2 linked regions of the Nothobranchius furzeri genome follow. The protein of the gene in region 1 interacts with the protein of each later gene in a biochemical or structural test. Links are inferred from orthologs where the notes say so. Each region holds a gene or a part of one and is shown on either strand. Other genes may lie near its edges. The genes, in order: nid1a and fibulin-1.

Evidence for each region.
Region 2: the proteins of nid1a (region 1) and fibulin-1 form a complex in vitro, tested with the Homo sapiens proteins (3 studies listed by BioGRID). The link is inferred for Nothobranchius furzeri from reciprocal best matches to the Homo sapiens genes NID1 and FBLN1.

Annotation. Positions count from the first base shown.
Region 1 is NC_091752.1:2,240,174-2,244,687, reverse strand, and holds the start of nid1a (nidogen-1), read left to right. Parts: upstream 1-1,472; 5' UTR 1,473-1,568; coding exon 1,569-1,844; intron 1,845-4,514. UniProt on the Homo sapiens protein: Sulfated glycoprotein widely distributed in basement membranes and tightly associated with laminin. Also binds to collagen IV and perlecan. It probably has a role in cell-extracellular matrix interactions.
Region 2 is NC_091741.1:53,756,511-53,760,874, forward strand, and holds the start of fibulin-1, read right to left. Parts: upstream 3,087-4,364; 5' UTR 2,860-3,086; coding exon 2,805-2,859; intron 2,647-2,804; coding exon 2,550-2,646; intron 1-2,549. Other genes in the region: trim24 (transcription intermediary factor 1-alpha), read right to left, coding at 3,917-4,364. UniProt on the Homo sapiens protein: Incorporated into fibronectin-containing matrix fibers. May play a role in cell adhesion and migration along protein fibers within the extracellular matrix (ECM).

The sequences.
Region 1 (4,514 bases):
TGCTGTGAAATTGGTATTTTTAACATGGGAGTCAATGAGGATTTGCTCGCTTCTGACACCAGCCCCTAGTGGATGAGGGTGGAACTGCAATTTTTTGTCACTTCCGCGTTGGACTCAATTTTTCACCCGAATTGTGGGGGCTTGGTTGTACAGCATCTTGGTGGCATGCTCATGCCTGTAAGGTGCTTTATAGATAAAGGCTGAGTGAGTGAGTGAGTGAGTGAGTGAGTGAGTGAGTGAGTCTGTGATAAGTGCTATATAAATAAAATGTATTTATTTACTTTAAAGAAGCCTGAGCGGGGGATGGGTGAGCGTAGCCAGCATCCCTGAAACGACTCATTCTGGAAGGGTCTGAAAATATCAAAAATCAAACTACTGAAATAGCTTAATGTGAGGGTGTTGAATGCCAAAAAAACTATAATAACTTAAGGAAAGACAGTCTACATTTGCCCTTTTTAAAGTGGCTGTCTGTGTTATTTATTTTATCTGATGGCTGATAACCGTATCACAACATCACCTAGTTTTCATTTCTGTATTTAGCAACATCTCTTGCTCATGAATGTGCTCCTCTAGCCAACAAAACAGAGCTAAAACACTTTGTTTTACAAATATTATGCTCATGTCATGTTGTGTATTCATATTTAAGACTTACTTGTCCATGAGAAAATCACCATCTCTGCACCAACCGAGGTACATCCAACGCTCGAGCATGCTCTGTGATTGACGTATGTGCATAAGCGGTAAAGCTACTGGCTGGTGCTGACTGACCCTCAGTTCAGTTTGCATGGAGCTCTATGGGACGGGGGTGGGCTTAGCAAAATGTCATTATTTTTCTTCAAACTTACAAGGAGCCACTTCAGAGGGGCCAAAGAGCCACATGTGGCTCCAGAGCTGCAGGCACCTGATCTACTGCAATAAGAAGAAAACGTTTAGACATAAAGTTTTGGATGAAAATTAAATAAAGAACAAAAGTTATGTTTTAACATCTGTTCCCTTGGATAGCACAATAACATTTATGGAACACGGAGGTGAAATAAGGTGCATGGAAATCTTTAACACTAAATTAGAAAGAACCTGGATGTTGATCTAAGCAAGGAGAAGCCAGAGTATGGATTTTGTTTTTGGACCCATTGGTTTCCTCTGTCCTGACATTGTGGCCCGAGACCCAAGTGTTGGATGGATGACTGATCATCCCCTACTGGGTCAGAAACTGCCTGGCCCTCGTTATCCCAGCTGGGGTTGAGTTTGATAGCTGCAGAGTAATTAATGCGTCTTTTACAGAATGTTTCTGGTCCATGATGCTCTGGTGGTCTTGGCTCTTCTCCAAAGCTGCTGTCACGGCTCCAGTATGTCCCCTCAGCGACCCAGCCTCTCCCAGGAGAGGGCGGTGTTGCGAAACACTGGATGGTCATTTTAGTCCTAAATTTTAATAAGTGAATTTTCAGGTTTAAATGAGATCTTCGGCCACGTACTAAAGCGAAGATTTTTAGCCCAGACGTCCCCCAGCGTGAAACCAAAATCCAGATGAAATGCTTTAGGAAAGTCTTACAGAGAGGATCTCCCCGCCCATGCATAAGACCCTCTCCATGAGCAGTTCCTCTCACTCCCTCTTAACCCCGTTCATCCAGAAGGAGAGCAACATGGGCTGGCAGAACCAAGGATGGCTCTTCTCTGCGAGTTTAGTGGTTTTTTGGGCCTCGGTGCGGAGCATACGGCGGGAGGAGTTTTTTCCCTTCGGCCCAAGCGCTGGAGACCAGTTACTGGAGTCCGGGGATGACCAGACATTCCGACTAACTCTCAGCAAGCCAGTGCTCTTCTATGATGGCTCGTTCGACAGCCTTTATGTAAGTCATTTAATTTGCTGCCGTATAAATAAAAAACCGTATAAAACGCGCGGGATTTTCTGGTGCGTCTGGGCTCCTTTTTGGTTATTTTTTTTTTTGCGTAATTGCGCACAAAGCAAACGGAGCGGGATAAGAAAGAAAAAGATAAACAATATAAGTCTAGTCTGTTGTATAGTCTCTGCTGATGTGCTGATTTAGTGGATTGTTTGTGTTGTCAAAATACAAAACAATCCTGATGTTTAATGTTTTTCCAAGGACGCAGAAGTTCTGGCCTTCATCTCATCGGAGGTCTTCACCATTAGTTGCTTGTAAAAGGAAATGAACCGTTATGCAGAACAAACAGGTCCTTCATTCCATGTGTTTCCAGTTTCCCTACATCTTTGTTTTAATTGTGCAGCATGTGGACAATGCGCATCAGCTATTTGTTTAATTCGAACTTTTATGTTAATTTTAAACATTTATTAGATTTCTCTATTTTTGAGCTTATTACATGGCTTTTCCCTTTTTTTCATCGACTTAAATATTTCAGATCAACAAACAAATGTGAAATATCAGTCAAAGATGAACCTGGTAAATTAAACATGCAGCTATTAAGTGATGATTTTATTTGGGGAAGTGTCCAAACCCCAGCCTGGTCTTGCCTCTCTTTTTAAATCATGATTTTACTGTAATTAATTACATTATTTGGAAAGATGCCACGCCCACATCTAACTACCAGACCTTAAAAAAAGAAGTCCAACCTGTCTGGCAGTATGTAGAAGGTTAAAAGATCTCAAAAAGCAACACATCATTGTGCCCTGTTCTAAAGCAAACCAAGAACAAAAGAACCCAGAACCACCTCACCAGCACTACAGTCCAGGGGCAAAATGGCAACTGTGGGAGAATTTCAAGACCAAAGGCTCTGACCAACATAAAGATCTGTCCCACATTTACCAAAACATAAAACATGTTAAAGGGGCAATATGTAAGAATGAAAAAAGAATGATGTCCTGTGGTCAAATTTGGGGACTGCAGGCCATTTTTCTAAGCCAATAGTTAAATATTGAACTCCCATCAGTTGTCACACACACTGGTGTGTGGTGAAATCTGTCCTCCATGTTTGACCCATCCCTGTGGGGGTGCAGTGAGCTGCAGACACGCCCATGCATGGGAACTATTTGGTGGATTAACCCCTTAAAGCTGTCCATCAAGCGAGGAGGGATTAGACGCAGGGGCGGATTTAGGACTGAAGAAGATCCGGGGCTTAACACACACACGCGCACACAAGCGCGCACACACACACACGTGACACGCACTAGTCAACATCATATATATATGTCTTGTACCACATAATTTTTAATCTGAAGCTACATATGAAGCATTTTCAGGGCAGAGTATTGTTCCTGTTAGTGTTTAGTGTGAGATGATAGTAAATATTCTCGTTCTTTCTCCAACATCTTTACCTGATAAGCTAACTTTAGGCAAACCAGCAGCACAACAAATATTTTCAAATTAGACTCACAAACCTGAGTCAGCACCAGTCTCATCAAAGCTGGGGTTCTGTCGCCGTACTTTTGGTCTAAAAACGTCCTTATGTCCATCTTCACTCATGCGTTTCAGACAGAGAGTGTAGAAGAAGCCGGCTGCTGAAGGGCTTCTTCTTCAGTGGTGGAGGCTCAGGCAGGCTGTATACAAACTACTGCCAGCTGCTCCCTCTCTGTTGGACTTTGGTACTGCATGTTACTTCCGCGATTTAGATCCGGGGCTTTTCATAAAACATCCAGGGCTTCAGCCCAAGTAGCCGGCGTAACACCGCCCCTGGTTAGATGATTGATTTAAAGTCTTTTGTATGACCCGACTGGGATTTGAACCCCAATAGTCCCTGCACAGACACTCATACCACTAGGCCACTGAGCTGGAGTTGCTTTCTCGCTACAGTTCCTTGGCTATGGCCAGTTACGGATCAGCAGTAAAAGATTCTAGATGAGAAGCGAAAACTCATATACTGTAAGGTGCAAAGTAGAGAAATACATTGTTCTATCTGGTGTTAGCACTCTTGGGTATTTTATGGTAGGGAGCGCTTACTAAACGTATTACGGTAATATGTCTAGATCGGCACAGACTTAGCAACCTCACAGGCTCACGGACTGTAAACAGGATCTACGTCCCTCTTTTGTTTTGTTGAAAGGAGAAAAATCAAGAACCACTCAGCTGAGAATGAAATCTGTTTGAATGTAACCTTCCTTCCACCATGACTGAAGCCTAATTTATACTTCTCCATCTGCGTTGGAACAGAGACACACAACGCCATTGTGCGTTGGTGCAAGAGCTCTCCGACGGGCTCGCAGAGGGTGATGGAGACATGCCCCAATTTTTAACTATAAGTGACGGAGACGTGAGCTTGTGTGCCTTCGCCCTGTCAAAAAATAAAAAGATAATTAGCGGCAGACACGGAACAGATTGAAGAACACATCTCGGGAAAAGTATGAAATACATATGAATGTTTATTCACCCGTGGCTGAAGGAGTACAAAGACATGCAGCAAGTGTTTTATTGGTGGACGGCAAACATCAGAAGCGTGAGTTTAGAGGTGCTGATTGCATTAAGAGGTGGAGGGGGAACACATCTGTTCGTGTTCAAAAGTCTCTGAAATAAACAATTTAGTAGATGTACTATCATGGACCAGATGCG
Region 2 (4,364 bases), on another chromosome or scaffold:
TTGATCTGAGCTGAGGAGGGGACTCCTGTTGTTTTGTTCATCTTCATCATAATAATGACAACATTAGATGACAACAGGTGCTCACATAGGTTTCTGCTGATGAACATGTCTGAGCAGCTTGACCATGTTGTTGTGTGTCGGGGAGGAAACACAACGACAGCAACCACAGAGCCGTGCTGGTTTGAGCGTGTCGCTGCTCGCTGGAGTTATATCAGCTCTGTCTGGACGTTAGTTGGAAAAGTTTCTCTTTCAGTCGTGAACACATTACTGAGCGGCTAGAATCTCCGTTTCTGGGCTTCAATGTCAGAAAACAGCTGAGTGAACTCGGCGCTGAGTGAGAGGAGTGTTTAGTTTGTCCGAGACAGCGGAGCTGCAGACACTGGCAGCAGACGCTGGAAAAAACACAAAGGAGGGGGCGCGTCGGCTCCGCGCTGACACCGCAAAGCATCATGGGAGTGAAGTCTTTGCGGTAAAATCGGCCAGCGGGTCAGTTTTAATGTATTTTTGATATTTATCTCGCGGGCCACATTAAAATGCTCCGCAGGCCAGATGCGGCCTGCGGACCATGTGTCTGACATATGTGTTCTATTTGATCTGGAAGGAACACAAACAAACAAACATGGACAGACCGTGCTACTATAAAAGCAGAGAAGAGCTGCTAAAAAGTTTCAGTTTTCAGAGACAACAGTGCAGCTAAATGGGGACGGCAGTGGCAGAGTAGTTAAGTGCCTGTCTCATAACCGGAAGGTGGTGTGATCGAGTCCCGCTCAGTCTGTCGCAGTTGTGACCTTGGGCAAGACACTTGACCCACTCTGCCTGCTGGTGGTGGTCAGAGGGACCGATGGCACCGGTGTTCGACAGCCACGCTTCTGTCAGTGTGCCCCAGAGCAGCTGTGGCACACACACAACCAGTGTGTGAATGGATGAATGGTTGTGCTGTAAAGTGCCTTGGGGGGTTGTAATACCCTATGGCTCAATGTTCTAGGCTCAACATGTCACATTAATCAGCTAATGAATCCAGAACACCTGCAAAGTGTTCCTGAGCATTTAGAGCCGCGGTGCCCAATCCTGGTCCTGGAGGGCCGGTATCCAGCATGTTTTAGTGGATTCTCTGCTCCAACACGCTTGATTCGGTGGTTGAATCATCCATGCAGCAGCTCATCAAGCTCTGTAGAAGTTAATCTCCTGCTGATTGAAATTAGGTGAGCTGAAACAGGGTTAAACTAAAACATGCTGTATACCGGTCCAAGACCAGGACTGGGCACCCCTGCTTTAGATGGTCTCTCAGTCAAAGTTGAAATAAAAAAACTTTTGCCCCATATTCTAATTTTTCCAGTTTTACCTGCATTAGTATAAATCTGAGGATGTTAGAAAGTGCCTCTCTCCATCAACAGTCTGCTATGGAGACAAAATTCATAAATGTAATTGGGGGCCACACAAAATCGCTCTGAAGACTGTAAATGGCCCTCAGACCACCGTTTGGACACACCTGACCTACAGCAACACTTTTTGATGTTTTTTCATTCTGAGTTTTACTAATATGACGTCATTTTAGAGGAGTGCAAATAAATAAATCACAATAAACTACATTGTGTATTTAAAAACAAATAAAGCAAAGAAATATAAGCTGTACGATGTTGGCTCTTATCTTGAAAAGTTTGGAAACTCCTGTTCTATATTGTCCCTATAGGGTGTGTGTGTGTGTGTGTGTGTGTGTCTGAGATGAACTGGAGACATGATCATGGTGCCTCCACCCCCATGCCAAATGACTGCTGCAGACAGACACCGGCTCCCTGCGATACTATGAGGAGTCAGCGCTAAAGATAACAGATAGATGAAATGAGAATGGTTTAGGAACGAAGGAAAGGATCCACAAAAAAGTTTTTGTCAGTTTAAACCCCTTGGGGGGGGGGGGGGGGGGTTAGGGGGGGGGGGGGTCTGAACACCTACATCTACTGAGTTGCTCCTCCCTTATAGAGAAGTTCAGAAGTGTGAATTCCTGAGGAATTCCTGCCCTCAGGAACCACACATCCCACCCTCTACTCAGAGAGGTTTGCTGCATCTTTCTGTTCTTCACGAGCGAGCAGCGCACGGGACGGCTACCCTGATCAGTGCAGACTCAACCCCTCCATTGAACCCACATTTTCAGTTACTTCCGTCAGGAAGGAGGTTCAGGGTTCCACTGGACAAGAAAGGTGTCTATAAGACATCGTTTGTTCCCACCGCAATTACAATTTAGAATTCTTAAAGTTTTATTTTTCTACGATAACATTCTAATACCTTTTAAATGTCTTTTTATGTATTTGTGTGAACGCGATATGGATTGTATTGTAAGGTGAGCCATGTCAAAGGCGAATTTCTGCCTCAATTCGAGGTGGACAATAAAGTTCATCGATCTATCTCTTCTTGTGTTTGTGTGAAACGACAAACTTTGGTTCACTTCAGACACAACATTTAATTCTGGCTTGTTTTTAAACCTCTGAGCACTTTGAGATTTAGATTAAGCGCAGCACAACTAAAACTTTAGATTAAGTTGAGACGTTGCTCACCTGCAGATGAGTGAGGTGACACGAGGAAGGAAGGAACAGTCTTGATCCCTCTGTGCGATTGCCCTTCCAACCTCACAGCACTCCTGAACAGAGCTCTCTGGTGCGATAATCACAGATTGGGTTAAGAAGCAGAGCTTGTGTTTTAAATCAAAATAAGATACAGCCTGCAGTTTAACTACCAATCAAATCAATGAAATCAATTCCCAAATAAAGCCTCGTGGAACACAACTTTGCAGGTCCAACGTCCTCACTTACCAAGCCCGTTCAGAAGTCCGCAGAGAGAAAATAAAACAAAACCCCAGAGAGCCATCCGGCTGATTTAGGAGAACGATCCAGACGTTGGTGATCTTCTCTGATGCTGGCTGGAGTGAAAACAGAACATCTCGGTGGAAAATTTTGAGAAGGAGACACAGACGTGTCCGTCGGGGAGGTCCGGGGAGGGCGGTCAGGCTAGGGGTGGGAGCTCTAATGATTAAAACAAATCTGATAAGAGCATTTATTTAAAATCACAGCAGTGTTGAAGTATAAGTAAAATGACCTAGAAGATTAAATAAAACACATTTATCAGCTCAGAGTGTCGCCTTATTCTGTGGCTTTTTTATTTTATAATTTCATCCTGCGACTATTTGAAATTCCCCACAGCAACAATCAAAGTCAGCTGGTAACCCCCGACAACACAGTCGTACGTGACGTGTAACCCTGTTTATTATAAATACAGTAAAGTCGGGTAAAGTGGTGCGTAAACCCGCGGTGTAACGCTGTTTTATAACATGTGTAATTCCCAACAGCATCTAATCAGGATGCAGTCATTTAGGACACAAGCAGTACAACGGGAGCCGATTATGACGTCTCTGCTTTATCTCAGACTGATAGCGAGTAAATCAAGGATTGTTGGTACTGCGGTGAAAACAAGGCTTCGTTGTGATTACTGGGGGGGAGGAGGGACAGGAAAGTTTCAACTGGCAGCACAAAGTTGAGACAAATAACCAAGCAGCTCATTTCTCCTCTGATTTGATCATTATTTACAGCACTTATGGTCCTATTTAACACTATAAATACAAAGAAAATACTATTAAAAACAACTGATTTCCCAACATAACGGCTACTTGGTGTGTTAAAATCTCCGGAGACGTGTTTCATGCACCGCAGCTCCTGAAGAAGACTCAGCCTATGATCTATGAGGTTAGGAGGAGCATTTGCAACTTAAACGAGACGAACGCGGTACGTTTGTGCGCTTCAGTCATCACACGGAGGTTATTTACTCCTTTAGTTGTGCATCTACAGTCTGTCTCATTCTGACACGATCTACGTGCAAACCCAAGTCTGCGGAAGACTTTGATCGGCCATCTTTTCTTCAGTTTCTTCATTTATTCAGGGGCTGACTTATCCTGACAGTCAGGAGGAGCTGCGGTTTTGTCTGTCAGGAGCTCAGGACTCTCCTGTTTTAAAGAGCTGGAAGCGTTTCCATCTTCGGCGTCATTCTCAGCAGAGGGCCGGTGTTCCGCCTGCTCCATCTTTGTGTTCTCTTTTTGCTTTTCCTCCTCAGAAGGAAAACGTCTTTCCTCTAGGCTACCCACAACTTCACTCGTCTCCTTTGATCCCGTCTCGGTCTTGTCTGTGTCCGGCTCCTTGTCGTCTGTTGGGCCTGGGTCCACTTTAGTCCCCTTTTCTGCAGGATTTTGAAGTTTGTTGCATTCAATGTGAGCCGTGCTTTCCTCTGCCGTCTGTTCCTCCTCTTCTTCAATTTCCTCCTCCAAAGGGGGGATCATCTGCTCCTCTCTCCCTCCGGGGAACACCCTGTCTGGGTAGATGAGC